Linked DNA regions of Caenorhabditis elegans. The protein of the gene in region 3 interacts with the protein of the main gene of each other region in a pairwise test. Each region holds a gene or a part of one and is shown on either strand. Other genes may lie near its edges.

Evidence for each region.
Region 1: the proteins of nsf-1 (region 3) and mig-5 interact in binary tests that used the Caenorhabditis elegans proteins (3 or more experiments, as listed by UniProt).
Region 2: the proteins of nsf-1 (region 3) and pas-2 interact in binary tests that used the Caenorhabditis elegans proteins (3 or more experiments, as listed by UniProt).

What each region holds. Positions count from the first base shown.
Region 1 is NC_003280.10:8,179,358-8,188,947, forward strand, and holds mig-5 (Segment polarity protein dishevelled homolog mig-5), read right to left. Parts: upstream 5,667-9,590; 5' UTR 5,652-5,666; coding exon 5,613-5,651; intron 5,547-5,612; coding exon 5,398-5,546; intron 5,344-5,397; coding exon 5,190-5,343; intron 5,149-5,189; coding exon 5,073-5,148; intron 5,021-5,072; coding exon 4,543-5,020; intron 4,501-4,542; coding exon 4,378-4,500; intron 4,332-4,377; coding exon 4,006-4,331; intron 3,958-4,005; coding exon 3,433-3,957; intron 3,283-3,432; coding exon of another isoform or gene 3,270-3,282; coding exon 3,121-3,269; 3' UTR 2,966-3,120; downstream 1-2,965. Other genes in the region: T05C12.4 (uncharacterized protein), read right to left, coding at 64-171, 226-387, 431-595, 928-1,011; dylt-3 (DYnein Light chain (Tctex type)), read left to right, coding at 2,461-2,467, 2,513-2,952; cct-1 (T-complex protein 1 subunit alpha), read left to right, coding at 6,089-6,164, 6,209-6,632, 6,677-6,982, 7,028-7,684, 7,843-8,029; T05C12.8 (ANK_REP_REGION domain-containing protein), read right to left, coding at 8,256-8,477, 8,532-8,654, 9,042-9,344, 9,527-9,590. UniProt on the Caenorhabditis elegans protein: Plays a role in the signal transduction pathways mediated by multiple Wnt genes. Functions redundantly with other dishevelled family members throughout development.
Region 2 is NC_003283.11:10,768,670-10,776,637, reverse strand, and holds pas-2 (Proteasome subunit alpha type-2), read right to left. Parts: upstream 6,271-7,968; 5' UTR 6,258-6,270; coding exon 6,220-6,257; intron 6,175-6,219; coding exon 6,098-6,174; intron 6,045-6,097; coding exon 5,798-6,044; intron 5,754-5,797; coding exon 5,420-5,753; 3' UTR 5,287-5,419; downstream 1-5,286. Other genes in the region: D1054.5 (CBS domain-containing protein), read left to right, coding at 60-226, 876-1,030, 1,144-1,310, 3,043-3,432, 3,477-3,785; D1054.3 (SGS domain-containing protein), read right to left, coding at 3,863-3,968, 4,018-4,295, 4,890-5,085, 5,159-5,175; D1054.1 (PNPLA domain-containing protein), read left to right, coding at 6,714-6,759, 6,813-6,904, 6,959-7,041, 7,098-7,203, 7,249-7,323, 7,369-7,497, 7,814-7,960. UniProt on the Caenorhabditis elegans protein: The proteasome is a multicatalytic proteinase complex which is characterized by its ability to cleave peptides with Arg, Phe, Tyr, Leu, and Glu adjacent to the leaving group at neutral or slightly basic pH.
Region 3 is NC_003279.8:7,764,338-7,776,644, reverse strand, and holds nsf-1 (Vesicle-fusing ATPase), read left to right. Parts: upstream 1-4,413; 5' UTR 4,414-4,436; coding exon 4,437-4,487; intron 4,488-4,599; coding exon 4,600-4,663; intron 4,664-6,405; coding exon 6,406-6,580; intron 6,581-6,663; coding exon 6,664-6,879; intron 6,880-6,925; coding exon 6,926-7,003; intron 7,004-7,049; coding exon 7,050-7,298; intron 7,299-7,348; coding exon 7,349-7,766; intron 7,767-7,827; coding exon 7,828-8,277; intron 8,278-8,323; coding exon 8,324-8,480; intron 8,481-8,532; coding exon 8,533-8,733; intron 8,734-8,779; coding exon 8,780-8,859; intron 8,860-8,904; coding exon 8,905-9,113; intron 9,114-9,680; coding exon 9,681-9,807; 3' UTR 9,808-10,113; downstream 10,114-12,307. Other genes in the region: A-to-I RNA editing regulator adr-1, read right to left, coding at 1-211, 259-528, 601-862, 912-1,449, 1,493-1,561, 1,604-1,850, 1,902-2,002, 2,050-2,247 and 3 more. UniProt on the Caenorhabditis elegans protein: Required for vesicle-mediated transport. Catalyzes the fusion of transport vesicles within the Golgi cisternae. Is also required for transport from the endoplasmic reticulum to the Golgi stack.

The DNA.
Region 1 (9,590 bases), on a different chromosome or scaffold from region 3:
ATAACATAGTTTTTTAGTTGGAAGTTTTGTTATTTAAAAATATTTTATTTGGATCTAACTCACAATATGAATTCTCTTCAGCCCACTTTTGGGCAGCTCAGAAACGTTTTCAAAATCTCCATGATAATCATAATTAGCAAATAGATCACTGATAGTGCTTCTCGAAAATCTCTGAAAATTAGGATATAAACGTTTCACTTTGAAATGAGTAAATGTCTAAAAAACCACAAGAGACGCATTAGCAAATGGTTTCTTTGCATCCAATTTTTCACTCCAAAATCCAATTCCAGCGAGAACAAAATAAGCAGAAGCTGATGTGACGATGAGCCAGGAAATGAAAAATAACATAAGATATATTGCATAAGTGTTGGAATTTGAAGGATATTCCTAGAAATATTAATATTAAAAGAAGGGATCCTCGAAACCTTACTTGATATTTTTGTGATCCACATCGCCCTCGAAACCTACATGTGAGGAATACGATTGTAAAGATAACAAGACCAAATGAGCAAGAAATTAAAGAAAATAAACTTGCAGCCAAAAGGGGTTGACTTGCAATATGTTCTTCAATTAACCCGGAATCCAGAAGATCTTTCTGAAGTATGTAAACTGAATTTAGATAAACTCTAAATTTTTAATTTAATCATTAAAAACTTACATCACCTAAATCGAATATAAAGTCATTCATTACTATAAAAACTTTATAATAAAAGTAAGTCTATAATATTAATAACAATAATAAAATGCCCAACACTCGTTAGATCCTATCATGCAAAGGTGAAATTTGCGAGACTAGGTCATCTTCAGCTGTTTTTTTTTGAATTTCATTTTCCGTTCAAAAACGAATGTAACGGGAATGACCCTTCCAATCATGTGGAAATAATCTTTTCATTCACGAAAAGAGACCGGAACTTTTCCTTCACGTACCGTATCCCAAAAATGGTGCAATGTTCGTTCAGCTGCGTCATGGTCGTGACGAAGTGTAAGTGCGTTTAGAATATATGAGGCCATTAGGACATATTATCTGAAATTTCTGAAAATTAAATAAAGAAATCTGTTGAATGATTGTGTGTCAAATAGAGTCAAGATTAGAGACGCTTCCGTATGGGAAATTCAGATCCGATCAGTTTATGAAAAGATCCGTATTTTTCCTATAACTCACTGCTCTACTTTGAAAGCTCATATCTCGATTGTCTTTCGATATATCAAAAATTGACTATGAAAATATAGAAAAATATGTGATACCTTTTTGCTGTTAAATATCTTTTGACAAAATCAAAGATAACCGGCATGAGAGCTGTCAAAGTAGAGCAAACAGGATACAAGACTAATAAAAGAAATATAATAAAGGTGCATACATAAAGCATTCACTATAAAATAACTATGTTTTCCAATTTGTTTTCAAGAAGTTGCACAAAGCCATTTTAAATTAATTTTCATTGTTATAATTGAATATGAAGTTAAATTTTTCCATTCCAGAATTTACAGGAAATCTAATTAAATAGTTTGAATGGAAACAGAAAGAAACGTTCCACAAACCTTGATCAAGAGTCTGTAGACATTATTGAGGTGCGCATATTACAAAAAGATTTATTGAATGATAGATATAAGAGGGATAAGTGTTAATGACCGGCTCATCTACAAACAATTAAAGGATGAGAGAAAGTGTTTGTGATGAGAAAGGCAAACTTGCCATGACGGACCGGAAATACTTTTTGTCTATTGGACTGATGATGACTTTTTGGATATTAGAGGAACTTCAAAGGTGAAGGTTTTTTTCAGTAAATGTTTTGGTCACTTGCTACATTTCCAAAACTGTGCATTTTCTGAGTAATTCGCATCACATTTAAGTAAACATTTAAGAGTTAATGAAATTTCAAATTATGAGGAAATCATAGTAGGAAGCAGAACATTTTCCGTAAATCACTGATGGCAAGCTAATCAGTCAGCTTTCCCCCCACTATTCCTTCGAACCGTATTTCCGTCTTCCACCACCCACCTTTGTTAGCTCAACCGACCCCTGCAAACATGTCAATTTCGGATACGGAACGCCATCAACATTACACAATTTCTGTGTGTCCGGTGCTCCAAACTGGTGCACTTTTAGTGTAAAATCTGGTACAGAGCCGCGGAAACAAAACAAAAACTTAACAACACATTTTATAATAAAATTAATTTTTTCGCTCCCGGTCGGAGATGCTGTGCCCACACCTTTTTGCATTTAAAAACAATGTTTCGTGTCGAGACCAGGTACCGTGTTTTTGGCACAAAAAGCGCAAAATTTTCGGGTCTAATTGTAAGTAATATTTTGAATTGGCACTAAACACTTCGCCTTCAGAGCGTGTTCTAATTACACGCACTGTTAAAAAAATTTATACCAGATTCTAATATATATATCAAATTTAGAAAACAAATGTTTATCGCATAACTTTAATTATTTCATTCATTCCTTGTTTCAAAATGACAGGTTAGTTTTCTTTGTCACATTATGCAACATCATTTGAAATTTTAGACACTTCTACAACTTCTTCTGTAGCAAAGCGGCAAATTGAATCAAAAAACGCTCAGCTTTTGAGACAATTGATTGAAAAGAAAAATAAGAAACTCAAAAAGAAAGTCTATTCAAATGCCGAAGAACAAGAAATTGATTTAATTATTCAAAAATCATTTGATTCAATAATTGGTAAAACTCCATATTCTCCATTCAAAATGTCTGATTGGATGAGCAAGATGATCCAAACAATTTCGGATAATTTAGTGAAGCTCAATGGAAGCAAAAAGTTTTTGGTTCATTGTACTATTTCTGCAAAAACCGATAATCTTGCAATTTGCACGGCCAACATGTGCTCCTGGGATACTACGAAGGATACTGCATACTACTCGGAATGGATGTCTAAAACTATCTTCGGTGCTGTCCAAGTCTTCTTCATCACACATCGTTTTTCGAAGTGAACATCGTCATGAAGAAATTTAAAATAATTCATAAATAGACTCAAAATTACATGAATGAATGAAAACGTTAGTCTTACTGAAATACATGAAAACAGGGCATAGTTTTAAATATTAATAAAGCATGTGGGAATTAAGGCGAGAATCGGTAAAGGCAATGAGTTTTAAATTTTAAGTCCGTAAAATACGCGTTCTGCTGTTGCTACTGTTCTCCCCGTCGAAATCGTGGTTGACTGCGTTCTGCGACTGAATCGGAGAAGCTGCTAGAACCATAGTACTGGATAGAGGAGTCGGCGGAGGGCCTCCTAAGCCACCACTTCCTGGAATTTGTAACTAATTTGGTTGGGGAAATACTGTTATGTGAAAAGTCATTTGGATACAAAGGGTACAGTAGTCAAGAAACAGCAAATACTATATCAATTGAAATGAATATTTGCTTCAAATTTAACTCCTGCACCCTATAGAAACGATTAATTTTCTCACCGTTTGTCAAGCTTGAGGATGTCACTTGAGAAGGTGCCGGTACCTGACGGTGATTATTTTTCGTCCCAAAAACATGATAATTTCCGACTGGATTCATTCCAATTTGGCTTTCTCCGACCATCGATGCGTAATCATTTGTCATAGGACTCTCACAATCTCGACGTCTTCGAAGCCATGTTTGGTCATGAGCAACTGGGCTTAGAGTAGTGGTTTCTAATCGATGAGGAATATTTCTTCCAACTCGTGCTGCCAGAGCATGTGGTGCTGGTGAGCCAACATACGTCACTTCAGTAGTTGCTTCAACTCGCATTGTAGTTCCACTCGTACCAGTGGTGTCCGTGGAATTACGATCATTGCCAAGAATTCCATCACCGAATACATAGTAGCACTTTTCTGTGAATGTCAACTTGCTGACGACATGTCTGATAAGACCAGCAGCTAACAATCTCGCAGCATAGATTCTAGCTTTCTTCCGATTATGAATATCAGCCATGTGATCAACGAGCCAATCGACTAGATCTCGGCCTAAACGTTGATTGTTTGGATCCTAATACTTGAATGTTCAGTACTCACCAATAAAAGACATTGGAACCAAAATTTTCAGCCATTTTCGATTTTTGACAGCTAATCCTGAATCCGGACGAGCCATAGAACGAACAACAATAATGGGATCAATCATTTCTGTGAGTTGCTCTATTTTTTCATTTTGCTCATTTTCTCGTTTTCTTTCTGCTTCTTCAATCAAAGCTCTTGGAATTCCATTTCTACGTTGATCGTAAAGCATTCGCTCCTCATCATCAGAAGCTGTCGATGTAAATGGAAGAGTTCCGTCATCAATTGTAGTTGCCGTTTGCTCCTGTGGATCCAAACCCAGAGCTTTCATTTTTTCAGTGTTCTGCCTGTAAGTATCAAATTAAGAAAATAAATCTTGCGAGGTACCCTTACACAGCGGTTTCTACCCAAACTCCAACGTCGAGGGGCATCGTTTCAGACGCCATGGACGCGAGTGGATCATCATATTCACTTGGGGCACCTCTTGCAAACTTACTGATATAAAGAGTAATTGGTCTAAAAATTAAAAAAAATTAATGCTAATGCGTAGAAAAATACCTTTTGGAGGATGCAGCTTCTCTGAGCGAACGAACTGCTTGAGGCCCACTGAGTTCTTCAAAGGATACTCTATTAACTTGAAGAATCTGATCACCAACGTTCACACGTCCATCTTTTTCAACGGCACCTTCTGGTGCAATTTCGGAAACGAATATATGACCATCAATTGTGCACACGCTCAGTCCCAGATATGGAACATTTTTCATTGGTAGATAAATTTCCAGAATTCGAGGGAGGCCGCTGTTAACACTTGATTCCGTCGCTGAGCTAATAGTACTTGGAACATACGGTCTTCTGAATCTTTCTTTCTTTTGTTTTTTCCTTCTTCTATCGTCATCGTATATCTTATTCATATCACGAGCAGCGAGAGGTTCGTAGAGCGAAGAATCATCTCCTGTTCGACGTGTATGCTCGTCATATTGATACGGATCCTCTGAATTTGAAGTGTATAATTCTGCCAGATGCTCTCCTGCTCTTCCTGAAAAACGTTCATACAGGTTTTTAAGAGTACATAAATAGCAAAAACTCACTGCTAACAATGGTGCTCGGAGCAAGACTAGCATCAGAGTACGGAGTCGCGTCAAAGTCTGCACTTCGTCGGCGGCGCTTAAAATATCAGTTTTTTTTGAAAATAACAGAAATCGAACCTTATCTAGAGCAGTTCTCTGTGGTCGCGTCATTGTTCCACTGTTTCGAGGAAGAGTTCCATATCCTGGAGTGCTAACGAGAAAAATCTCATAAAATCCATTCTGGGATTTGCGCAGCCGATCCGAATCAGTTGTTAATTCGACTTTAACTTCTCTGAACATTTTTCAGTACAGAATAATTACAAAAATTAAAAAAGCCAAAACTCACCGTTGAATATCCGGGTCAAGTTCCTTCGCATAATACTTATATCCACGCTTGGTGAATGAATTTTTGAAATTTCCAAGCGTCGCTACTCCTTCTCTGGCTTCAATAACAGAAACATAGGGAGTCGTTTCATCGTCGAGATAGTAGAAGACCTGGAAGAAAATTATTTCTGTTTAATCACTGGCTTAATAAAAAACAATTCTGATCAAAATTCTTACTTTTATCTGGCTGCAGTCTGATGTGCATGGCGGCTCCATAAATGTTAGAAATCTGAATTCAATATTTTAAATTATAGACCAATAAAATATTTATAAAAATTACAAGAGGAAACAAAAAAAACAAATTTGTTTGCAAAGGACTAGCGGAAACAATTTTATTTTTAATTTATCGGCAATAAATCGCGGGTGGGAACAATGTTGCAAATACGCCCTAGTGACAGCTGGTGTTGGGTCTCGGCACGATTACCCTTCTAGCATGCATGAAGTACGATGCGCTCTGAGAATATTCTACAAGAATTTTAATTTTGATTCAGAATTCAAGGGATCCCCGATTTTCTGGAAGCATTTTTATTTTTACTGAAATATTTTCATTTTTACGTATATTTTTATTTTTGAGTGCTTATTCAAAGCCCCTTTTTGACTCAATATCGAATGTCCTACTCTATTGCTAAGTTAATACGGTTGTGTTTCAGGTAATGGCATCAGCTGGAGATTCCATTCTTGCCCTCACCGGTAAAAGAACTACTGGACAAGGCATCAGATCTCAGAATGGTAACACCGAAAGCTCAATATAAGTATACATTAATTAATTGCAGTCACCGCGGCAGTTGCGATCGCCAATATTGTGAAGTCATCTCTTGGCCCTGTCGGACTTGATAAAATGCTTGTCGATGATGTTGGAGATGTCATTGTCACAAATGACGGAGCCACAATTCTGAAACAACTCGAGGTTGAGCATCCGGCTGGAAAAGTGCTTGTAGAACTTGCACAGCTGCAAGACGAGGAGGTCGGAGATGGAACTACTTCTGTCGTTATTGTGGCGGCTGAGCTCTTGAAGAGAGCCGATGAGCTTGTGAAACAAAAAGTTCATCCGACGACTATTATCAATGGTTACCGTCTCGCGTGCAAGGAAGCCGTCAAGTACATTAGTGAAAACATCTCATTCACTTCCGACTCGATTGGTAGACAATCAGTTGTCAACGCTGCCAAAACTTCCATGAGCAGTAAGATTATCGGACCGTGAGTTTGGTGTTGTCTATGCTTCAAGAAAATTGATTTTTCAGAGACGCCGATTTCTTCGGAGAGCTGGTTGTTGATGCCGCGGAAGCTGTTCGTGTGGAAAATAACGGGAAAGTCACTTATCCTATCAATGCAGTCAATGTTCTGAAGGCCCACGGAAAGAGCGCTCGCGAATCAGTTTTGGTGAAAGGATATGCACTCAATTGCACAGTTGCCAGTCAGGCCATGCCACTTCGTGTTCAAAATGCCAAGATCGCATGTCTCGATTTCTCTTTGATGAAGGCTAAGATGCACCTCGGTATTTCAGTCGTTGTTGAAGATCCAGCCAAGCTTGAGGCTATTCGCAGAGAGTGAGTTGAAACTATTCGTTTCTTTTTAAGCTATGGAATTTTCAGAGAATTCGATATTACCAAACGCCGCATTGATAAAATTTTGAAAGCCGGAGCCAACGTTGTTCTTACAACTGGAGGTATCGATGATTTGTGCTTGAAGCAATTTGTCGAATCTGGAGCTATGGCTGTTCGTCGATGCAAGAAATCAGACTTGAAGAGAATTGCCAAAGCTACTGGAGCCACATTGACTGTTTCCTTGGCTACTTTGGAAGGAGATGAAGCTTTCGATGCCTCGCTTCTTGGACATGCCGATGAAATTGTTCAAGAAAGAATTAGTGACGACGAGCTCATTCTCATCAAGGGACCGAAATCTCGTACTGCCAGCAGCATTATCCTCCGTGGAGCGAACGATGTGATGCTCGATGAAATGGAGAGATCGGTTCACGACTCACTCTGTGTTGTTCGTAGAGTTCTGGAAAGCAAGAAACTTGTGGCTGGAGGAGGTGCTGTTGAGACTTCTCTCAGTCTTTTCCTTGAAACTTATGCACAAACCTTGTCTTCTCGCGAGCAGCTTGCTGTTGCTGAATTCGCTTCAGCGCTTCTCATCATTCCGAAGGTTTTGGCAAGCAATGCTGCAAGAGATTCTACTGATTTAGTGACAAAACTCCGCGCGTACCACTCCAAAGCTCAATTGATCCCACAACTTCAACACCTCAAGTGGTAAGTGAAAATGTTTTTTTTAAAGAGTAGGTTATTACATGTTAGCTTAATGTAATAAAATTAAAATAATTTATTTCAAAAAATTTCGTTTTGTGCTTAGAAAAAGCGTCTAATTCATGTTTTCTGAATTTGAGTCAGTTTATTCACTCTTTTTTTAGGGCTGGTTTGGATCTCGAAGAAGGCACGATCCGCGATAACAAGGAGGCTGGAATTTTGGAGCCAGCTCTTAGTAAGGTCAAGTCTCTGAAGTTCGCCACTGAGGCAGCCATTACGATATTGCGTATTGATGACCTCATCAAACTTGACAAGCAAGAGCCACTTGGAGGAGATGATTGCCACGCTTAAATTTTCCCGTTTACCCCGTTTATATATCCCTGTTTTCCGCGTGCTTCTCACATAATTCCGATCTGCTGCTCCTTATCCCAAATTCTCATGTTCAGCTTTTGTTTTCTTCTTTTGATGATACTTTATTGAACGAAATGTTGTAAGTTTTAATGTTTTGATTTCAAAGTTGTTTGTATTCGTTTTTCATTATTCAAACAATGAAGAAGCTTTGCCACATTTAGTTGTATTACTCATCGCCGCCCAGTGATGTGAAATCGCGATTTTTCGGATCACTGTTAGTACGACGGCGTAGGCTCAGTGGAGGGAGACGGACACCATTAGCAGTGCTGACAGTACTGGTCATCGGTTTATCCTTTGATGACCATCGGAACAATCCACTATTCGATGGACCTTCAGATGGTGGCGATTCCGATGATGATGAGTGTTGTGGAAGTCTCAAGTGATCCTCCTATAAAGAAAGAACCAATATTTTCTTTCAAATTGATCATAAATCTAGGTTTACCTCATTTGAATTTCCACTGGTTTGATATGACAATGGTTTGTTGGAAATTGATGAAGATCTGACAGCTGGTGCTGCAATTCGATCCGTTTGAACAACGGAAAGACTTTTCGTATGAAGTGGAGGCTGAAACGTTTTAAAACTGTAATAATGTTATCCTGACGTGCAATTTTGTGATCATTGCGCTGAAATTACGGTACCCGGTCTCGACACGAAATTGTTTTCTTTGATACAAACGGGTGTGCGCCTTTAAAGAGTACTGTACTCTAACTTGAAAATTTCGGTTTCCATGGATTTTTAATCGATTATTAGAAAGTTATGTATTTTAATTGTTTTTTCGTAGTTTTTTTATTCATAAAAAATATTTTTTAACGAACAACCATAAACACCCGATGAAAATTCCGCAGAAACTATCGTTTGAAATTACAGTACTCATTAAAGGTGCATATTGGGCGCGAAGCTCACAAAATTTCGCGTGTGTAATAAATAATAAATTATTTTGCGGAAAAATACCTTCTTTCCGAAAATATTTCTAATTTTCTCCCCAACACTCGAAAAAACTCCATGATCAGCTGGCGGAGATGTCAATTGTGGAGTTGATGGCTCAGATGAGTCAATTGATCCGGATTCCACAGAGAATGTACGTTGAGACATTAATCTTGAGTGAGCAGATGATGACCTTTTCACCATTTTAAGATATTCTCGTCCTTGGACTGCAGCTACATTGCCCTTCGCCAAACTATTCGAGATTTTCTCTCGGCTCAGCTTTTTAGTTGCAACTGCATGCCCAGAAGCCGATTCTGATTGTCGCACGAGCTGGAATAATTTTCTGATAAAGTAGCAGTTTCTGGGAAAATAATGTGCTATTTAGACTATAATTTATTCGCGAATTCTGATTTAACAATTTTCAATGAAGTAGGCTCACAAGAAGTCTGTTAAGATAACATGAATAAAAAACAATCGGCTTTTGAATTACTAAATATGTTCAGATTACTCACCTCTTTAACATAATTGTCATCAAAGGTATCTGCAGTTTTTGGGCCCAATGAAATAGTAACATCT
Region 2 (7,968 bases), on a different chromosome or scaffold from region 3:
ATCTATTGATACTGACAAACGTTTTTTATTAGTCACTCTTTTCGATTTCTGCAACAATTATGATCAGCATTATGTTCAGAAGTATGCTGAAATTTGTGAAAAAGAAAGCTTCTGGGACTAATTCACTGCAAAATGTTGAGATATCGAGACCTACGAATTTGATTGTTTCAAAACATAAATTGGTTCGAACCGACACAGACTTTATTCTTGTTATGGAAGATGATAAGTGAGTTTACATTTTTTGTAAGAAAATCAGATTTAAGTTTATTTGAAAATTGTAACTAGTAGTTCGCTTTTTTGCAAACTTTTGATCTCTTCTGTAGCTACTGTAATCAAACTATTAATATAATGTGTTTTGTTATTGATTTGGTGAATGCCGTAGACATAAAATACGATTGCCTCAACGTCATTTTAAATTGATATAAAATTTTATTTGGGTATACATGGAGCGTTTGATAAGTTCTACAAAAGTGAAATACCAAAGAAGTTATTACAATAGGCTTTCAATAACAGAAGGGATTTGGTTTTGAACTGTTACAGATAATCATAATATGAAAAAGAAAAAAGTCAACAATTGGGTGGGACCCTTTGAGAAATTTGTATCGAATAGGTGAAAACTCTTTTTGAATAATTTTCCTTGAGATTCCAAATAGAAAATTTAAAAACAATTTAATAAATACAGCTTATGAAATTCAAAAAAAGTCCTCCAAAATTATAGTGTTCCTGAAGTTTTCATTTGAATTACCTTGAACTTGACCAACGTTGTGGTTTTTGTATTCTCTGTTTTTTAGTCAGCTGGAGCAACTTAAAGAAATTCCCAAATCAAACCTGAAATTTCAAAAATATAAGTTTCATTTCATAATTTTGTGTTACAGAATTATTGGAATCCTTGATAAAAGGGATCTTGAATTGGCAGTTGTTCCGACTGATATCGCTCCATCTCTATCTTCCATTTCTCCTCCATCATCATCAGTTTTGCCCACTGATTCTCAGACGTACCTGGCACCAGATAGCATTCGATCAATTGGAGGTAATTATGTAAAACTAATAGTATTAAAAGTATTAGCTCATTAGTTTCAGCGAAAATAAAAAAATTAAACTGTAAACAACATAGTGACTGGTACGATACCAACTTATTTCCAGAACGTACCCCCCTTCCATTGTCATCACCAACTGGAGTCTCACCGAGTCAATATAAAACATTGCCAGCCGGCTTTGGAGCTAAACACCAATCGAACATTCCACGTTTTCAGTGGCAATCCTCACAGAATAATATGACCAGTTATGGGGAACAAGGCTCAAGCTATCGGGTATGTACATGTTTAACTTTGAAATCTCCAATGTATATTGTATTACGTATGCAATGGGATTTTTCGCCCTATCTCAAGCGAATTGGTCTCACCACGGGGACAGCTAGTTACTGAAGCTAGTGTCGATTTATGTGGTTATTTTTATTTTAGAAATCTTACGTTTTTGATTGATTAAATGGTAAGGTTTAAGTAGTATTTCTATCAGGTTGTCCCATAAGTTTTTGTACTATTTTTTTTTTGAAAAAAATTTATTTCTCTCAAGCGACAAGTAGTACTATTCACACAAGTATTCACCATTAGTGTCCACCACTTGTTGCCATTTACTAGGTAACATCATGATGCCACGGGAGAAGAAATCCGGCGAACGCGATGAGAAGAAAGTGGAGAGTTCAGTTTTGAGATGCTCTTCGTCGTCGAATTGCTTGTCGCGCATGTAGTCACTGAGAGACAAGAACAAATGGTAGTCGGTTGGTGCAAGATCTGGAGAATATGGTGGATGCGGTAAAACAGTCCAACCAAGATCTTGCAGCTTTTGGAAAGTCTTCTTGGCGACATGAGGCCTAGCATTATCGTGAAGAAAATATAGTTTTTCATATTTTCCGTTGGTCTTTTCTGCAACTCGGTCCAATTGGGCACAATAGTAATCAGCAGTGATAGTTTTATTAGTTGGCAACAATTCCCAGTGCACGGGTCCTTGAACACCCCACCAGACACAGATCATAATCTTTTTTGGGCTTTGGCGTCGGTATTCCTTTCTCACCGATCGGAAGCCATTGACGTTTTCTGGAATGGTTAACATAGAGCACCCACTTCTCATCTCCAGTAACCAGATTGTTCAGCCAATCGAACTTTCGACGAAAAGTTAGAAGTTGAGTACAAACGTTGACCCGAGTGAGCTTCTGTGATGCCGAAAGTTCATGAGGCACCCAAGTTCCAAGTTTTGAAGTAAAACCAAGGCGACCCAAGTGACGTGCAATTGTGCTATGACAACACTCAAGCTTCTCTTCCATTTCACGAAGACTAAGACGAGGCTCTTCCTCCACCAGCTTCACTAGGTCTTCTTCATTTAACTCTACCGGTCGCCCAGAACGTTCTATTTCTTCGAGACTGAAGTCGCCGTTCTTGAACTTTTGAAACCAACTCTTTGCTGTATTATAAGAGAGTGCTCCCTCACCCATCGCACCGCATATGTTTCGTTCCGCTTCCATTGCTGAATGACCAAGACGAAATTCATAAAGAAGAAGCAATCTAACGTCTCGACGTTCAAGTTTGATGATTGTCATCGTGGCAAAGTAGAAATGGATGAAATGAATCTTTTCTGAAAGGGGACGACCCGACCTTGACACGACCTACGATGAAAAAATTTTAAAACTTTCTAGAAGTTTTGGAAAAATATTTGAAAAAAAGTACAAAAACTTATGGGACAACCTGATAATAGTAAGTATAGCTATTACTACATATGAGATTATTTGTATGCTACCTTTCATGTTTTTTGTTGAAAAGGATGATGCAATACCATAAATCGACGCAAGCCACAGTAACCTTTTTACAGTGTGACGTGACACTTCTCAAATGTATTATCAAATTTGTTAGTACGAAATTAGAAGAATTGTAAATTTGAACAGTTTTGTATTTTACAGAATATTTACGTTCCATACCGAATATTGTAATGTTTTTAAAGTACACTTAAGTCCACAACAAAATAATAAATAACATTCCTTCCTGTTTACAGTCTACAAGTGTGGAACAACTTTTTTCGCCTCCGATTCTCTCCGCAAATGGTCGTAATCGTTCTGAATCTGCTCTCCGACCACAGGGAAGTCATAAATATGACACGATATCGTTCTCACCGTCATCGAATCAATTTCCGGGTTCATCTAGTGCACAATGCAATGTCGAGATTCGTTTGGGCGATGATCGTACACCACCTCCACCGCCAAATCGTGCTCCACCAGCACCATTGAGCTTCACGCGATGCCACAACACGATTGTCCATCCAGAATGCTCTTTTCAGCTAGATTACACTGAAGTGCAAACTGTTTCTGTTGAAGATCCGGATTTGAAAGATATGTCTCTTGAAGAGATGAGGAGGCATGCAGAAGACATTGAATCCTATATTCAGGTGATCAGAGCTATTATCTTCAATTGAGTAATATAACGTTTCAGGATCAAGTAAAACAACAGTGGAGCCAGCAGAAAAACGAAACGGAGAAATGGATCGAACAAATAGCTGGAAAGGTCGCCAAGACCGAGACAATGAATACCATCAGATTGGAAATGACAAATAAGAAACGTCCATCACTATCACAAGCTTTTCTTCCATTTGAATCAGATACGAGCTCACAATCCACAGATCCAACAGATCCGGAACCACATAATGGTTATGAAAAATTATACACCTCCAGAGACAAAGCAGTTATCAAGCGTCAGGGGACCAACGAATCTGAAGGGGATATCGAGGATATGAGATTTTAATTAAACTTTAAAACAAAACATTTGACATGAAGTTTCATTTTTGGCGGTGTTCATATAACAAAATAAGAATTTAATCATCACTTTTCATATTCCTTATATTCCATACATGCTGGTGGCTGACATTCCGTTTTCTTTTGACCAATTTCAGACCAATTTGTAGACAAGACGGTTCCATTTGATTCACTGAAAATAATCACTATAATCTCTTGGTTTTCAGGCAATAACGATTTACGAATAGCTCTTCATCATGGCACGTCGGACATCATCCGAAGCGTCGTTGTACATCTTACGGAACATTTTGTTTACAGCGGCATCACCTTCCAGCGATTCATCTTCCTCTTCTTTTACAGCTTGTTTCTCGATAGCATCCCAATTCTTTTTCACAGTAGTAGTTGGTGCACTTTCTGGATTTGGTGATACACTCTGTACAGAAGCGGCAACACCTTGTCCGTCTTTCAGCAGAGAAGCCCATCGTTCATTGCGAGCGAATTTCGGAAGTCGAACTTCTACCTGGAATAAGTTTTAAATAAAAGTTGTTTTATTCAAAAATTTTGCTCTGGACGTTTTTAAATCCAATCAAGTTATTATGGAACGCAATTTTTTATTTTTTTTTGTGGTTTCGGACAGTCAGTTCACAATTATCGCTTTTGAGGGAATGATCATCACGATTACATAAAAACCGCTAACACTCGGCTTATTGTCACTCAGCGAGTGACTCATCATCCTGTCGTTACCGAACCACAACTGTATGCGTAGTAAGGGTATATTCTACCACTGAGCCACATGTCCTTACTTGGTACAATCTATAACTCGTTCAGGTGAATGTAGAGCATTAATAGCATTAATAGCTAGCATTTTCTGACTAGACGCAATTTCTCAGACTATTCTTGAATAACTGTTTCAATCGAGTTAAAATAAACTACACTAAAATTAAACAAATTCCAATCAATTTTCCATGGCCGGAAAACATGTTTTTAATGTTAATAACCATAATTTAATAAATAAGGTATGCTTGGGAGGATCACTAGAAAATCTTGACGTTTAGACATTTATCTAGTTTTCTAGTTTCTAATGGATCTACAATAATATTTCAACCCAACTAACCTTGGCGGCAGTGCATTTTACAGTAAGATCATCTTTTTTCACTTGACCAGATAATTGTCCATAGAAGAGAATCTCATCACATTGCTTGACCGTCAGTGTGTTGTTATCTGATAGAGAAACAGAGCAATCATCGAGAGGCACTCCGCGTTTTAGGATAGTTAAAGTGACATCAGTTTCACTCTGGAACCAATCATGCCTGAAATTTGAATGTAACGAATTCTTATTTCAAAATTTTTAAAATTCACTATCCTGTAAATTTTAATGCTCACCTTGGTTTTGAAGACATTTTGATTAATAGCTGAAAACAAGTTTGTTCATAAGTCTGAGAAAATTCAGTCAAGATAAACAACCTAATAGGGTTATACACCTTAATAAAAGTACCTCAAAAGTCGGGTGTAAAACGGTAAAAGGATTCATTGTTCCAACAAAACACCGTAGCAAAAAGAGATTACTACCGGGTACGGATAGATGGGAGAATACATAGAATAAATTAGAGAAAAGAAAGAAAGAAAATTGTGAAATCACTCGATTTAAAGAGTTCCAAGGTGATCATGGACTTGTTGCTTGGTGAGCCGATGGAATCCGGTCGAGTTACAAACAGCCACCTCAACGTTGTTCTCGTTCATGCCAACATCGAACGATTCTCTCAGTGTCAGAAGAGCAGTGTGAATTCCATCATCGAGCTCGAGGGCCTCGCTGAAGCGCTTCTCGAGGAATGTTTTCGCATTGACGTCGTTTTTCCCGAGTGCTGTTGCTTTCCATGCGAAGTAAGCTCCAGATGGATCACATTGGAAGAGCAATGGCCGTCCTGGATTTTTGTCCCAACCTGCGATAAGAAGCGATGCTCCAAACGGACGAACACCACTGAAAAATCTGAATAGAGTGCGTTTAGAAAAGTTCTAACTCACCCAGATTGAGTATATTCCTGCATTACGGCCGCGATGTCAGTGACAAGTTGAATGGTTGGCATTTCCTCGCCGTACATCATTTCGTATTCCATAGCAATCTTGCGAGCTTTCTTCACCAAAATACGGAAGTCTGGTCCCATTCCACTGTAGACGCATCCAATATGCTTGCTGATTTGTTCTACCTTTGGCTGGTCATCGGTGAGAACAGATCCGACATTCTCGGTCGCAAGAACGACTCCGTCTTTAGCTGAAAATGAATTTCCCATTGAAAACGACAGTACAAGACAAAAACTTGAATACCTCTCAGTCCAACCGATGGTTGCCCATTCTTGACAGCATTCAATGCATATTCGATTTGCATCAATTTTCCCGATGGGCTATAAAAATAAAATTGACTTTTCTGGAGATTGAATTTAAACTACCTGAAGGTGGTGAGTGAGAATCCATAGTGATCTCCCATTTTTCAGTGATTTCTGAAAAATTTATTTTAACTGAGAAATTTAATCGAACACCAATTGACAACAAGAAAGCGTTTGCTTTAAAGCGAGGAGCAAATGAAAAAGAAAACCCGGTGAAATTGTCATCATTCGAACTGAGTGCGGTAGAGCGCGCTTTATGACCACTTCATCGACGCAAAATTCCCGGAGAATCTAATTACCAAACATTTATTGTGAAAATTAAAATGTTTACACTTCTCTAAATGTTTAATGCATGTGAATTTTTTCGTTAATTGATTTTTATCTTTTTCACATAAATTAAAAACATATTCATCGTCTCAACTCCTCCATGCGGGCAACGCTGTAATTCGTCACTTTTGTTTTTATTTAGTTTCTTCAACACAGTGGCATGTTTATTGGAAATCTTCTTTACCATGAGACACTTGTGATTTAATTTTTATTATATAAAATCTATAACTATGAAAATATCGACTATTTTGCTGAAACGACTAAACAAACTAGAAGGTACGAATTTCTAATTTTTCACCAACTGTTTTATTTGAAATCCTCATCTTCAGATGTTTCAAAGTTGGCATTGTCGTTTAGTGGTTCGGGATTTCTTGGAGCTTACAATTTCGGAGCAGCAAAACGTCTGATGCAAGAAAAAAAAGTAAAAATAAATTAAGTTCAAGAGTTCAAAAACTAAATGTAAAAATTCTAACAGACTATTGGAGAGAAAGTTGATCGATTTGCTGGTGCATCTGCAGGAAGTTTAGTTGCTGCAATTCTTGCTTTGGCTCCTGAAAAGTAAATACATATTTCCTAGAATAATAGAAAGTAGGCAATAATCTAAATCTACTCAGACTTGATGCTGCAATCGACACACTGTATTCAATGGCAGATCACGTTCATGCTCAAAGATTTGGTGCCATGACTCCTGGATATTACTTGAATGAACAACTAGTTACAGTAGGCATCCCTAATTTTTCAGATGAAGAAAAAGGAAACTTTCAGATCATAGACGACTTTCTTCCGACTGATATTGCAAATGCTCAGGGAAGATTGCATATTTCCATAACCAAATTGAAAGTAAGAACAAATACGCTTGAAACTCTCATAAAAATTGTTTTCTAGAAATGGGAAAATATAATGATCAACAAATTTGACAGTCGTGATCATTTGATATCATGCCTTCTTGCCAGTTGCTACATTCCAATGTATTCAATGGGATATAAAGGGGTTCCACCAATTATTAATCAAGAGGTGCATTTATATTATTACGGGAACACAAAATTCTGTGAATACGTATTGCGCAATATATTTGACGCGCAAAAATATCTCGTGGCGAAAATTACAATAATTCTTTAAATGACTACTGTAGTTTTTGTGTCGATTTATTTACGGGCTCAATTTTTGATTTTTTTTTCTTTGTGTTATTCTCATTAAAAATCGACACAGACGCTGAAGTAGTCATTTGAAGAATTACTGTAGTTTTCGCCACGAGACATTTTGCGCAATACACATTCTCAGAGTTTTGTGTTCGCATAATACAATGGACTAATAAATTAAAATAATTCAGGAATGCATCGATGGTGGAATGACCAACAATTTGCCCACATTTCCAGACGTTTTGACGATAACATGCTCTCCGTTTTCCAGTCAAGCCGATATTTGTCCGGATGATCCTTCAACCTGGAACATTGAATTCGGTAAACAAATATTCAAGGTTTCTAT
Region 3 (12,307 bases):
CTTTTTCTCGAAAATTGAACATTCTGAATCAACGGTGCTAAGTTCATGGATAAATGCCTTCAACATTGCTCTGCGGGCAAGAATAATAGCATCCAAATGAAGTAGAGATGTTCCATTGGCTCCACTGAGAGTATCTGGTTCGACTATATATTGTATAGATGAACCCATTGCAAGAACACGCTTCTCTTCTTGAGCATTGACCAATAGGAAACTGAAAGTTGAATAAATTTCTTTTGAAAATAATGTTTGAAAACTTACGCAGCAAACAAATTGCTGGGAGGTATTTGATAGTATTCAGTCATCTGGTGGTATTCTCTCTTACAAAATTCTGCGATATGTCTGCATAATGGAGAAACCTTTGACTCGGTCATAGCACGACTTGTCAATGCAAGTGGATAGTTGCCGGCTGGATCATAGTCAATTTTGAAAAGCTTCTTCAGAGCTTGCATTGCCGCTTCACTTTTAGCCAGTTTTTTCGAACGACCAACGCCAATGTACCGATCGGTTTCATCGATTACGCATTCACAACTGAAAATTTTCAATTAAAACAGCCTCATAAAATATTTTCAAAAAAGGATTCTGAAATTGTACTTCACTTACTAGAATGTCGTTGTAGCCTGTCCAGCAACTGGAGGTACATTGTCCTTGAATTCATAGGCAATCTTGCACTTCTGTTTCGTCTGCTTGTTGAGCATCGCGTGGAGAAGAGCACACGGTCCCTGACTGCTGACAGCATCTGTTTTCACACAGGAAGATGGATCTATTGCAAAATAGTTTTTTAGTGTTTCTTGCGCGACCCAGTCTTTGGCCATTGCTTTGGAAGCGAGTGATGAGGACTTGACTTCAAATTTCAAATCATTCTCTGAAAAAATTGAAAAACTGTTCTAAATCTGAGATTCTAGTAAAAATACCATTGTGATCAATAATTGTGCATTTTGCCATGAAATATGCTCTTCCGATACCAAGTGGTCTGTCTTCTGCTGGCTCACATTCAATAGTAAGAGTGCAATTTAAAATTGAGCAAATGGTATTGAGACATTGAAGGATTGTCGTATCGTGTCCAAGACGATTACTTGCATGTCTACGGGCAACAGTGGTGATGTCGGCATGTGACACGTTGAACAAGTCACGAAGAGCTTCACGAATGACCATATCTTTCAAAACTCCACGACTTGGTCCCATCTTTGTATATTGTTTATTTTGCTCCACGAATTTCAAAGTGACATTATGCATGGTCTCATTTTTGCGCCAACCACTCTTCTTTTCATTGGCAACGTTTTCTCCATTTGTATCCACTTCTTCTTTTTTGACTTCGACTTCGGGAATCTCTGGATCTTTTGGAACCTCCGAAGCTTCGAAAACTGGTGAATACTTCTCGGCAGACTCAGCAATTATTTTTTGCATTAGATCTAGCAACGAAAGCGCAGATTCAACAGGTGTCAACTGGAGCTTGAGAATTTATAAGTACAGCTTTTGAAAATTTGAATTTTACCTTTGCTTTCTTAACAGCGGAGACCTTTTTCGGTGTCGGTTGATTTGAAATAGCATCAGCCTGAAGCAACTAATATAAAACTTATTAAAACCAATTGTAGTTCGAACGTACATTTCTCTTGTTGTTCTGCCCATTTCCAGAAGCGGCATCGATTTCCTTTTTCACTGGAGCCGCTGCTTTTGCTGCTACACCTTCTTCAAATGGTGTTACATGAACATCCGGACGAAGATCGCGAACAACAAGTTCCGAACATTTTTGTTTCGCTGCTTTCTTGTTGACTGATTCCATTTGAAAAGTGCGTCCGTTTACTTTCAATGTGCAGCAATACTTTTTCGGAACGCCCTCAACCTCAGTGTACCTGAAAAAGTTCAATAATTTGATTGCCTTTCTAATAAATTCAATAACTTACTCTTCAGAAACATCCTTGAACAGCTCATGAAGCAACATCGCTGGGCTTTTCCCAGTCGAATCAAACTTTTTGGGAGCAGCTGGACCCTTGGGCTTATTTTGCTGAAATAAAAACGTTATTGCAATATAAAATAAAAATAATTTCCCACCCTCCAATTTGGTTTGTTTTGGTTGAATGGACCGCCTTTTTGATTGTTAAAAAAACGATTTCCCTGTGGGCCACCCATTTGGTTTTGCGACATTGGTTGCACCCACTCCTGACTCAAAGCGTGCCCTCCGCCAAACGCACCGAAATTGTTGTTACGAATTGCAGATGGTTTTGGAGCACCGCCTTGTTGTCCGTATTTCTGTATCAGTTTCTCACATTAGAAATTCCAAATTGTGATAATTTTTAGAAAACGCTTCTGTTCTTTCAATTAAAAATAAACTATTAGTTTCAACTGGAGCTGTTCTTTAAATTAAAAATAAATATACCTTCTGTGGGAAGGTTTGTGCTCTCTGTTGTTGTTGCATGAATGTTGAAATTGGGTTCATGGCTGCATAAGTATTCTGAGCTTGTTGTTGAGCCTGTTGTTGCTGCTGCTGCTGTTGTTGGCTGACATATTGTGGGAACTGAAAAAAAATAATTGTATTTTCTTCCGAAATTGTTAGTTTTTATCATACCGTGTGGGTAGCCAGCGAGGCAGCGGACTCTGGTTGGCTCCATTGACTTGCCCAGTTGTAATTATTGGTCTGGAAAATTGAAAAATTAATTAAGCAAAATTTTCTAAGCTTTTGAGATAATTCAGCTTAGTGATTTTTTGTATTAGAAAGTTTTTGATATTGTTTTTTAGCTGAAGGATCTCAAACCTTAGGTTTTGCTAATTTGATACGATTTAAGATACAGAAATAAACAATTTTAAGCTAATTTTTGAAAATATCACCGAGAGGATCCAACCCTGGATGATATAAATTTTAATTTATAATAATCATCCAGAAATGCATCTATAACAAAACTTAATTATTGCAAAGTGAGAAAAAGTTCATTTGTATTAGGCAGATGAACTTATTGACACTGTAAACGTCAACAAATGTATTAATTGTCGATGCATACGACAACGCCAAACTATTTGGGGTTCTTCCAATATTTTTAATTGCTTTAAAGCTGGAGTGAATCCTACTTGAGTTTTAATTTGTATTGGATTTCACTCCAACTCTAATCGAGTACCCACAAAAGTTTAGAGTTAACGTACGGAATCGCTGGTGTGATCAGTGCCAGAGCCATAGGCCTGTCCATAACCGAAGTTGTAGTTAGGATTTTGATCCATTTCGTAGTCAAATAAATTACCTGCAGAAAAAATGATGACTAGCAATCGTATGAAGTTTTCGAGAAAAGATTCACACTATTGAAAGTCGTGACATTACCCGGCACAAAAAAACATTTCGAACCGGACAATGAAATTACACGAGAAATAAGAGGGAAGCAGTAAGATCACAGAGTATGCCGCATTGGGAATAATGACAAACTCCACGTTCTTAAGTAGACACAAAATACATTACAATATAGAGGAAATATGCCGAGAGTAGGAAATAAACATACTATTCAGTTGTTCTTTTAAGCAATAGAAGCAACTAAATAGCTAGTTGAAAGACTTCGTGTAGCATTGAGAACAAAAAACACATTCAGAAGAGAAAAGCAAATAATTTTAGGCCCTCTAATTCTAAAAATCCTAGACTAAAAAGGAATGAAAATTATAAAACGTCAAGAACAAAATGGCTTATGACTGAGATATAATGCTCCTCTCAATATGCTATAATTATTGATTAACTGAATTTCCCATAAACTGACATTGCTTTCAATGTTTTGAAACAAAAAGGGCTGTTGCATTGTGAGAATAACACTATTTTTCTATTGAAATTGACAGAAACTAAGCGAATTGTACATTTCAGTGATACATTTACAATTGCGGAACGAAATAATAAGCGAGAACGCAGCAAAAAATGAGCCGAATCGTTGAGCGCGGAACGCGTCGCATTCGAAAAGTCGATAGTTCCATGGAGCGCATTTGCTCTACTGACACGTCACGGAATCTGTGAATAAAGTTTGAAAGAAATGCGTTCAATGCCGAAAACGAAAACTTCGCTCACATTTTAAGTGAGAAAGAATAGCAGCTAAATTGTTATAAATATTCTAAAACATAGTGTTAAAGGATTTTAACTACTTTTCATAATTCTGTTTCGCCCGACTCACACAATTCAAAAATTGAAGTGGTCTCATAATACACGTTTCCCGGATTTTCATGAGTTTTTAAGATTTTATTTGCAATTTAATATTTCTAATCTGCTGTTTTTATCACAAATGCGAAAAATATAAAGTTTCTGATGCTTAAATATTGATTTCGTCAAAATATTTTTTGTAAAACCACATCAGCTGCTAAATAATAAATTCTTTTTATTTTTTTTTTAAAGTTCATATTATTTGTCCAGTTACAATTTATTAGTTGCGAAATTCATATGCAACGTGTCCTTGGACGAGTTTTCAGTCAGACATTTTCTCATGAGTCCAGTCCCGTGTTTAAGCACATGTTGCTGTTTTAGGAAAATCGTGGTAAATAATTGTGTTTCAATGCTCATTATTCGTTTGATCGTTTCTCTTTTAATTCTTTATTTATTGAAGATCAGGACTGTATTTATTCTCTTTCAAAATTGTTAATTTTCAGGAATATTCTACAATGTCGTGGTTTCGGAAATCAGCAAACGACTCACTACTGGAGACAAATCACGGTTTCGTTTTGTTTTATTGGGAACTGTGCTTTCAAACTTTTAACTAACGTTTACTAATAAGTAATATGGATGAACTTGAACTGGAATTTTCTTAAAATCAGGGTTTTATTTGAACATTTAACATTTTTAAATTCGTTAAAATTTTATTCATGACGGTTTGACATGACTTAATTTTTTTCCAGTTCTAGCCACTCCATATTATTTTAATGTTTACTTGCATGAATATTTGAGAAATACCAAAAGTTGCTCATCATTTCTTAGTTTGCTTCTTTCTCCATCATCAAAAAGTCCACCCTTTTCACTTCCTCCCCTCCCATTTTCCGGCTCTTTTTTCACGTATCTCCCCCATCCGTCTGTCCTCTTCTCCAACTCTTCGTGTCTTTTCATGCCCAAAGTCCTACATCGATTTGCGCAGGAAAAAGCCTCCGAGTGCCGAAACAACGTCTTCTTCTTCTTCGTATTTTTCTTGTTTTCAACGCACTGCTCCTCTCGTTCTGCAGTTTTTGTTAGCATCTTCCCCATCTCTTCGTATTTTTTTGCTTCTCATTTCCGTTTTCTCTCCATTTACTTCTTTCGGCCTCTTTTCGGTCCTCCGCTTTTTGTTTTCTGTTTTGATGCCATTATTCCCACGTTATTCTGGAGAACATTTCCATAAACCAAGGAAAGTCATGAATTACTGAAATAATGACAGGATAAGCTGTTTCTTCAGTTTTATCCGAAACAATTCAAACCTTAATACTTTGAAAATTTAATTATTAAATTCAGTGTAATCAAACCCCTGAAATCTGACTCTTTCTCACTTTCGGTATCCTAAAAATGAAAATTGTGTCTGCCCGATTTTTCCTTCGTTTTGTCTGTTATCAGATTATATGTCCCAGCGCGCATGCGTTTTCTAATAGAGTTACATTATTTTTTGTCTAGAGCTTCATGAGAAAAAAACTAAAAATTCTAAAATAAATTTCCTTTCATGTTTCATGCCCATTAATCTAAAAATTACGTTTCGGTCCTTTCCTTTAGAAAAATGGCTCAAAAACCTCCAAATGCATGCTTTTCGCCAAGAAATCGGAGCCGCCACAAACGGCGCGACTTCCACTCAATTTTTCTCCGTTTTCCGAATAATTTTGTGTGCATTTGTGTGTGTCTCGTTGAGGGTGGACGTGTCCATGTATTCGAATTCAATTTTCCTCCTACCATGTTTGTGCTTTCCAATCAGCTCCGTCCACTTTATGGTGTAGCGTTAAATTATAGGATAGAATGGACACTGAGACTTCCTTCCGCAGTTCCTGGGTGAACTTTTTGGAATCTCTTGAGACAATTAACGGTTAAACTTATCTAAGAACGAGTTCGAACATTATCTGGTCTTATTCATCTATGGGTTCTTTTCAGGCCTTTTCTAAAAAACTTAATTTTTTTGTTTTTCTATATTTCGGAAAACCAAAAAAGTCGAAAGCTAATGCGATGCCTCAATTCTCCAAAAAAAAAAGACATTTCTGCGGCTTGTATTATGGAAAAATCGAAATTTTTTTTGGCGACGCCCCTGGTTCATATCATTTTTTTCGGGTACGAAAAATTAATCGAGGTTATTTTACTAATATGATTGCAACAGTTAACGTTTCTCGCTAAAAGTATCACTAACTTTTTTGTTTCATTCACACATTTACCTATTTGTTTGATCAAAGCTTTCCCTTACCCTTTTTAATCCTTTTCAAACAATTTTCAAAATGTATATTATAATAATTCAGACCGCATTCCAGTAGCTCCACCACGCGAAGTGAGAGCACCATCACCACGTCTGCCCCCCAGTTATCAGACGTCCAACGAAAAAATGTTCCGTGTTCGGAAAGCACCATCAGAAGAACACACGTTGGCTAATTATGCCTACGTTAATCGCTCTGATTTTGATGATAAGCAGATCAAGTAGGTTTTGTTATCATTGTATTTAGTATTTAAATACATAATTTTCATTCGCTGGTTTTCGTGTAAAATTGTTTTAATTTCAGGCATGTCCGCGTAAATCCCGGCCCTGCTCACCACTATATTTTTTCGATTCGAAATGATGGCTCAATCAAGCCTGGAGAAATCGCATTCGGTGTTCCACATCGTAAATGGGCAGCTTTATCGTTGGATCAAGAAGTTCGAGTGACACCGTTCACTTTTCAACAATCTGAATATGTTGGTTCAATGATTTTGACAGCTGATTTCAATGCCAAAAAGAAGTAGGGTTTTTCCGTTAAAAAAAGTAAATAAATGATAATTTTGTAGTGTCACATCTGAACCACTCAACGCCGATTTGATGGCCAGAGAATTCTCGATTCAGTTTGGAGGACAAGCTTTTTCAAAGTGAGTTTCTAAAACCGTGAATATTCTATTTTTAATTTATTTTCAGAGGTATGCAAATGGCTTTCCGATTTGAAGATAAAGAGAAGAACAAGACTCACACTCTATCACTTGTTGTCAAATCAATCGAAGGATTTGATATTGGAAAAGCTGCAGCTGCGGCAAGTGGTGCATCCAATACGGACAGTAGTGCCACCAAACCAAAGCAAATTGAAGCAGGAGAACTTTTACCAAATTCAGTTATTGTATTTGATAAAGAGGAAGGATCTATGCTTAATTTGATTGGAAAGAGTAAAGGGTTAGTATTAAGAATTAGAGTCTATTAATAAAAAAACATTCATTTTTCAGAAAATCCGCTTACCGCTCAATCATCAACCCTGACTGGGACTTTCAACAAATGGGAATTGGAGGTCTTGACACTGAGTTTTCTCATATTTTCCGCCGTGCCTTCGCGTCTCGTGTATTCCCACCAGAGTTTATTGAGCAACTCGGAATGAAGCACGTCAGAGGTATTCTTTTGTTCGGACCACCTGGAACCGGAAAAACATTGATGGCGAGACAAATTGGAAAGATGTTGAACGCGAGAGAGCCAAAAATTGTAAACGGACCACAGATTTTGGATAAATACGTTGGAGAATCAGAGTCAAACGTGAGAAAATTGTTCGCTGATGCCGAAGAAGAATGGAGACGGTGTGGAGCAAATTCAGGACTTCATATTATCATTTTCGACGAAATTGATGCAATTTGCAAACAAAGAGGATCTATGGTAAGTATCGAATTTTATAATTGCTAGCAATATGGCGATTATACTCCTTTATAATTTCCAGGCTGGAAGCTCATCAGTCCATGACACTGTTGTGAATCAATTGCTCTCAAAAATGGATGGAGTAGAACAATTGAATAATATTCTTGTAATCGGAATGACCAATAGACGTGATATGATTGATGAAGCTCTTCTTCGTCCAGGAAGATTGGAAGTCCAAATGGAAGTTTCACTTCCTGATGAGACTGGACGACTTCAAATTCTTAAAATTCACACTGCACGCATGAGAGAATACAATAAAATGGACCCCAACGTGGATTTGGAGGATATTTCAAAAAGGACCAAGAACTTTTCCGGTGCCGAATTGGAAGGTCTCGTCAGAGCTGCCCAATCCAGTGCAATGAACAGGCTAGTGAAGGCTGGAGGTAAAGCTCAAGCTGATCCAGATGCAATTGAGAAACTTGCTATTAATTCTGGCGATTTTGATTACGCCCTTGAGAATGATATCAAACCGGTAAAAAATCATTTTTCTATTTATATTCTTAATCCCCAATTTCTAGGCATTCGGACGTTCTGATGAATCGCTGAATCGTTTCTTGAGCCGTGGAATGATCGTTTGGGGACCAGAAGTAACGAAAATTCTTGATGAAGGAAGCCTTCTCGCTGCCACTGTAAAAAATCCTGAAAACAGTGGATTCCGAACTGTTGTGCTTGCGGGTATTATTTTTTTTGAAAAATGGCGGTTAACTTATATACTTCTAACTTTCAGGTGCCGCAAAAACCGGAAAAACTTCATTGGCTGCTCAAATGGCAAAGAGCTCGGACTTCCCATTCGTCAAAGTTATATCACCAGAAGATACTGTTGGATTCTCAGAATCTGCGAAGTGTATGGCGTTGAAGAAAGCTTTTGAAGATGCGAAACGATCAAAGCTCAGTGTTCTTCTAATCGATAATTTGGAAAGATTGATCGGTTGGTTTTTAGATTAATGCATAAATCTTTATATAAAATTATTCAGACTACCATCCGGTCGGCCCACGATACTCCAATCTGGTAATTCAAGCTCTTCTCGTACTTCTCAATGCTCCTCCACCGGCCGTTAGTGTATCGAAACAAATATTTTAGAACAATCGATATTTCTAGGGTCACCGTCTGTTCGTCATCGCAACCTCATCGGATCGTATGTTCTTAAGAGACATGGGACTTATGGATGTATTTGGAGATGTTATTGATATTCCTAAACTCACTACAGCAGGACAAATGATGAATGTGATTCAGGAGAGTAACATTTATTCCGATGATCAACTTCCTATGATTGAACAAAAACTTGCATCAATATGTAGAGGAGAAGGGTAAGAATGTTCGATTTTTATTTTATAAAAAAATATTATTTCAAACAGTGTGAAGCTCAATTTTATTATTAAAAAGTAAACTTCTGATAAAGAAATAATCATAATTCTGAAAACATTACTAATTTATGCTTTTAAATTAGATAATTCTTGATATTAAATGATCAGTTGTGTTATATACATCTTATTTTTTAATATTAAAAAAATCGTTCACAAAATTAATTTTCTTCAATAATTTTTTTTTTCAGAAAATCGTTTTTCTCGAAAAATTTTTTTGAATTGAAACACTCAAAAAATTTTAAAATTTGAATACAAAATTTTGGCGAATCTATTTTTTCCTTTTTTCTTTTGGAAAAAAAGTTTTTTCTCGAATTGAACCCTGATATCGCCCAAAATGTTATCAAATCATCATCTGCAAGACTTGTTTCTGAATTATCATTCCTTTTGGTTCCAATTCCTTAATTCCATTATCCTCTTACAAGCCATTAACTCTTTTTTAGCCGGTATTAGTTGATTATTTTTTCATAAATCTCATTCCAGCAAAATTCTCCTAAAATAAGAATGTTCCAGATTCCATGGAGTCGGTATCAAACATCTTCTCGAATTAATTGAATCTGCTCGTCAGTGTGAAGCCGATTACCGCGTCCCGACACTTCTTAATATGATGGAAGGTCTTGCTCTAAACTTGTACCGTTAACTCTTCAGTTGAACATAGAACTCTAAAAGCTAAGAAATTTATTCAAATTAATTTATTTAATTCTAATTATTGCATAACCCATTGAATTCTCGCCGCAATATTGTGATAATCAATGGATCTCCAACCTCTTTTTTTCAATTTTTTTTTCTTATTCATTTAAATATTTATTTATTCGCAGTCCCTTTGTATTGAACTTGTAACCATCATAGCTTTCTTTATGTGCACTCATTTATTTAAAGTGCTATTCAATTAGCTAAAGTATGTAAGTTTCCATTTCAAGTAGCAATAAAATGGTTTGTATATTTATTGGTGTCCACACTCCACAAATTCTTGATGTTCATTGTTCCCTTTTCTAATCTGATCGTTTGCCTTTATAATCTAAAATCCTATTAGAGTAATCATAAGACTTTGCATAATGTTGCAGAGTACTATTCGGGATTATCCTCTGACTCGACGCACCGTTTTCAGACATCAAAAATTTTTGAAAAGTCCGAAAATCGATCCTTCCTTCGTGAAAGATGACGGCTTATTCTTAAAAATAGAACTAGCATGTAAAAATGCCTACCTACATTCCTTCAGGCGAACCGAAGAAATGTGGTGTATAATTTGTAGTCGAATTTGAGAGGATGATATGAAAAATCGCCCAAAATCCAATTAAATGATGCTCGAGAGGAGTACACGGCCGAGAATCCATAAAACTCGTTTCCGCTCGAAATTCAAATCAGGTGAATGCAGAGGTTGATTTTTCGATCTTGGAAGCTCCATAACTGATTTCTGAGAGGCTTTTCCCAGTTCAAGTGATCCTATGCAGCTAAATTTCTTTTAGAACCTGATTACTCAGGTAAATCAAACCACACAGGCCCAGCTTCAGGATGAATCATTTTAAACTACAGTGTCATTTAAAAGGTGATTGTAAAACAATCCGTCTCTTCAATGAAAGCAGGTCCCTTTTTCCACACTTGTCTTCCCGTTTGCACATATCTTTTGATTCTTTCTTCCCACCCAAGACACACCTATTAATTGTACTTTTTAACCCTCCTGGCACCCCCACGCACATGTCTTGTGACGTCACCAATGTTTAAAGGGCACACATGGTCATGATGAGGGGACGGTAAGGCGGGAGAATGAGGACATTGTGCGCCAATTTCGAAATGATTCGAAACTACTGGCATCGTGCCAAGTGACAATGAGTTCTCCTGTGCAAAATGCCTATGACTCATTGAGGTAGACAAAGGGCAAAAAAGTGCAGACAGTTGGGCGGGAAGAGGTAACACAACGACCTACTGGTACTACTTGAATGAGGGAATGCAGATGAAGCATGACGCAATTTGCAATTGAGGTGCACTTAGAAAGAGCTTCAAGGACAGTTTGGTTACGGTAGATAGATAAAATGGGAGGAGTTACCAAGTCTTTGTTGTGAATGGAGCTTCTACCGTAATCCATCTGAATCTTTCATTGTTTATGAAGTATACGCTGTGACACAAAGAAGATTACAGGATGGAATTCAAAAAAACTCAAAAGCGGCTTCATTAAAGTTCATGTCTAGAAAATGCTTAAATGTTCTTTTTATATTTGAAAGTTTATCCCCAGAATTCTAATATAAGTTGCCATTCGACAATTGATGGGACTTATTAAAGATGAAAAAACATTTTTGTTCACCCTTTGAGCTTCTCTGAAATGTTCTCTTGGTATGCCAGAAATCTTTATCTCGATAATTGCCGAACCGCCCAAATTTTTCGAGTACCACATTTCTATCGATTTTCTGGGTATCACCTCCTTTGAATTGAATTTCGCCGCTTCAATTCCCCTTTTTGATAACTTTTAAAAGACTGGGGGCATTCTCGGTTCAAAGCCTGAGGGTACACTGAAAGTTTGCTGTTTGCGCTAAAAAAATAATAAAAAATAAGTGCAACTTTTTGGTTTTGATCGGAAACGTTTACATACTGATATTCACTTTCAAATCCATAGGGTCAATTGATTAGTAGGCAGTGAGGTAATCATTTCTCCAATCGCAATAGTGAAAATTAGGAGAAATAAAGCTGCTAAACTCACGTAGCTATTGAAACTATAAAAAATCAAAATGTGTGACGGTATGTTCTAATGGGCGTACTTTTAGATTACATTCGCTTGATATGTTACAGATCAAAAAGTAGGAGTTCAGGTGGAACCGAAAGTATAATGATAGATTGAGTGTTCCATCCCAGTTTGATCCCTGAACATGAGGACAATAGGTTTTCCACATTTCACTGTAAAATGTCTGTAATGTAACATTTTCTTATTCGCGTTTTTCAAAGCTTCCAGGGATAGAGCAAAAACAGAGACGAAAAAGAATACTTGTGCGAAGTGTTGATGAAATTGATAGAAACTGGAAAATGATTTGAAAGCTACCCAGTCTGCCTGATATGGTATTTTTGATGCAGTGTTGGGGCGCGAGCAATTGTTAGAAATTCTAAAATAAATTGTTTTTTTTTAATTTTTACTGCACGATTGAAAAACATCT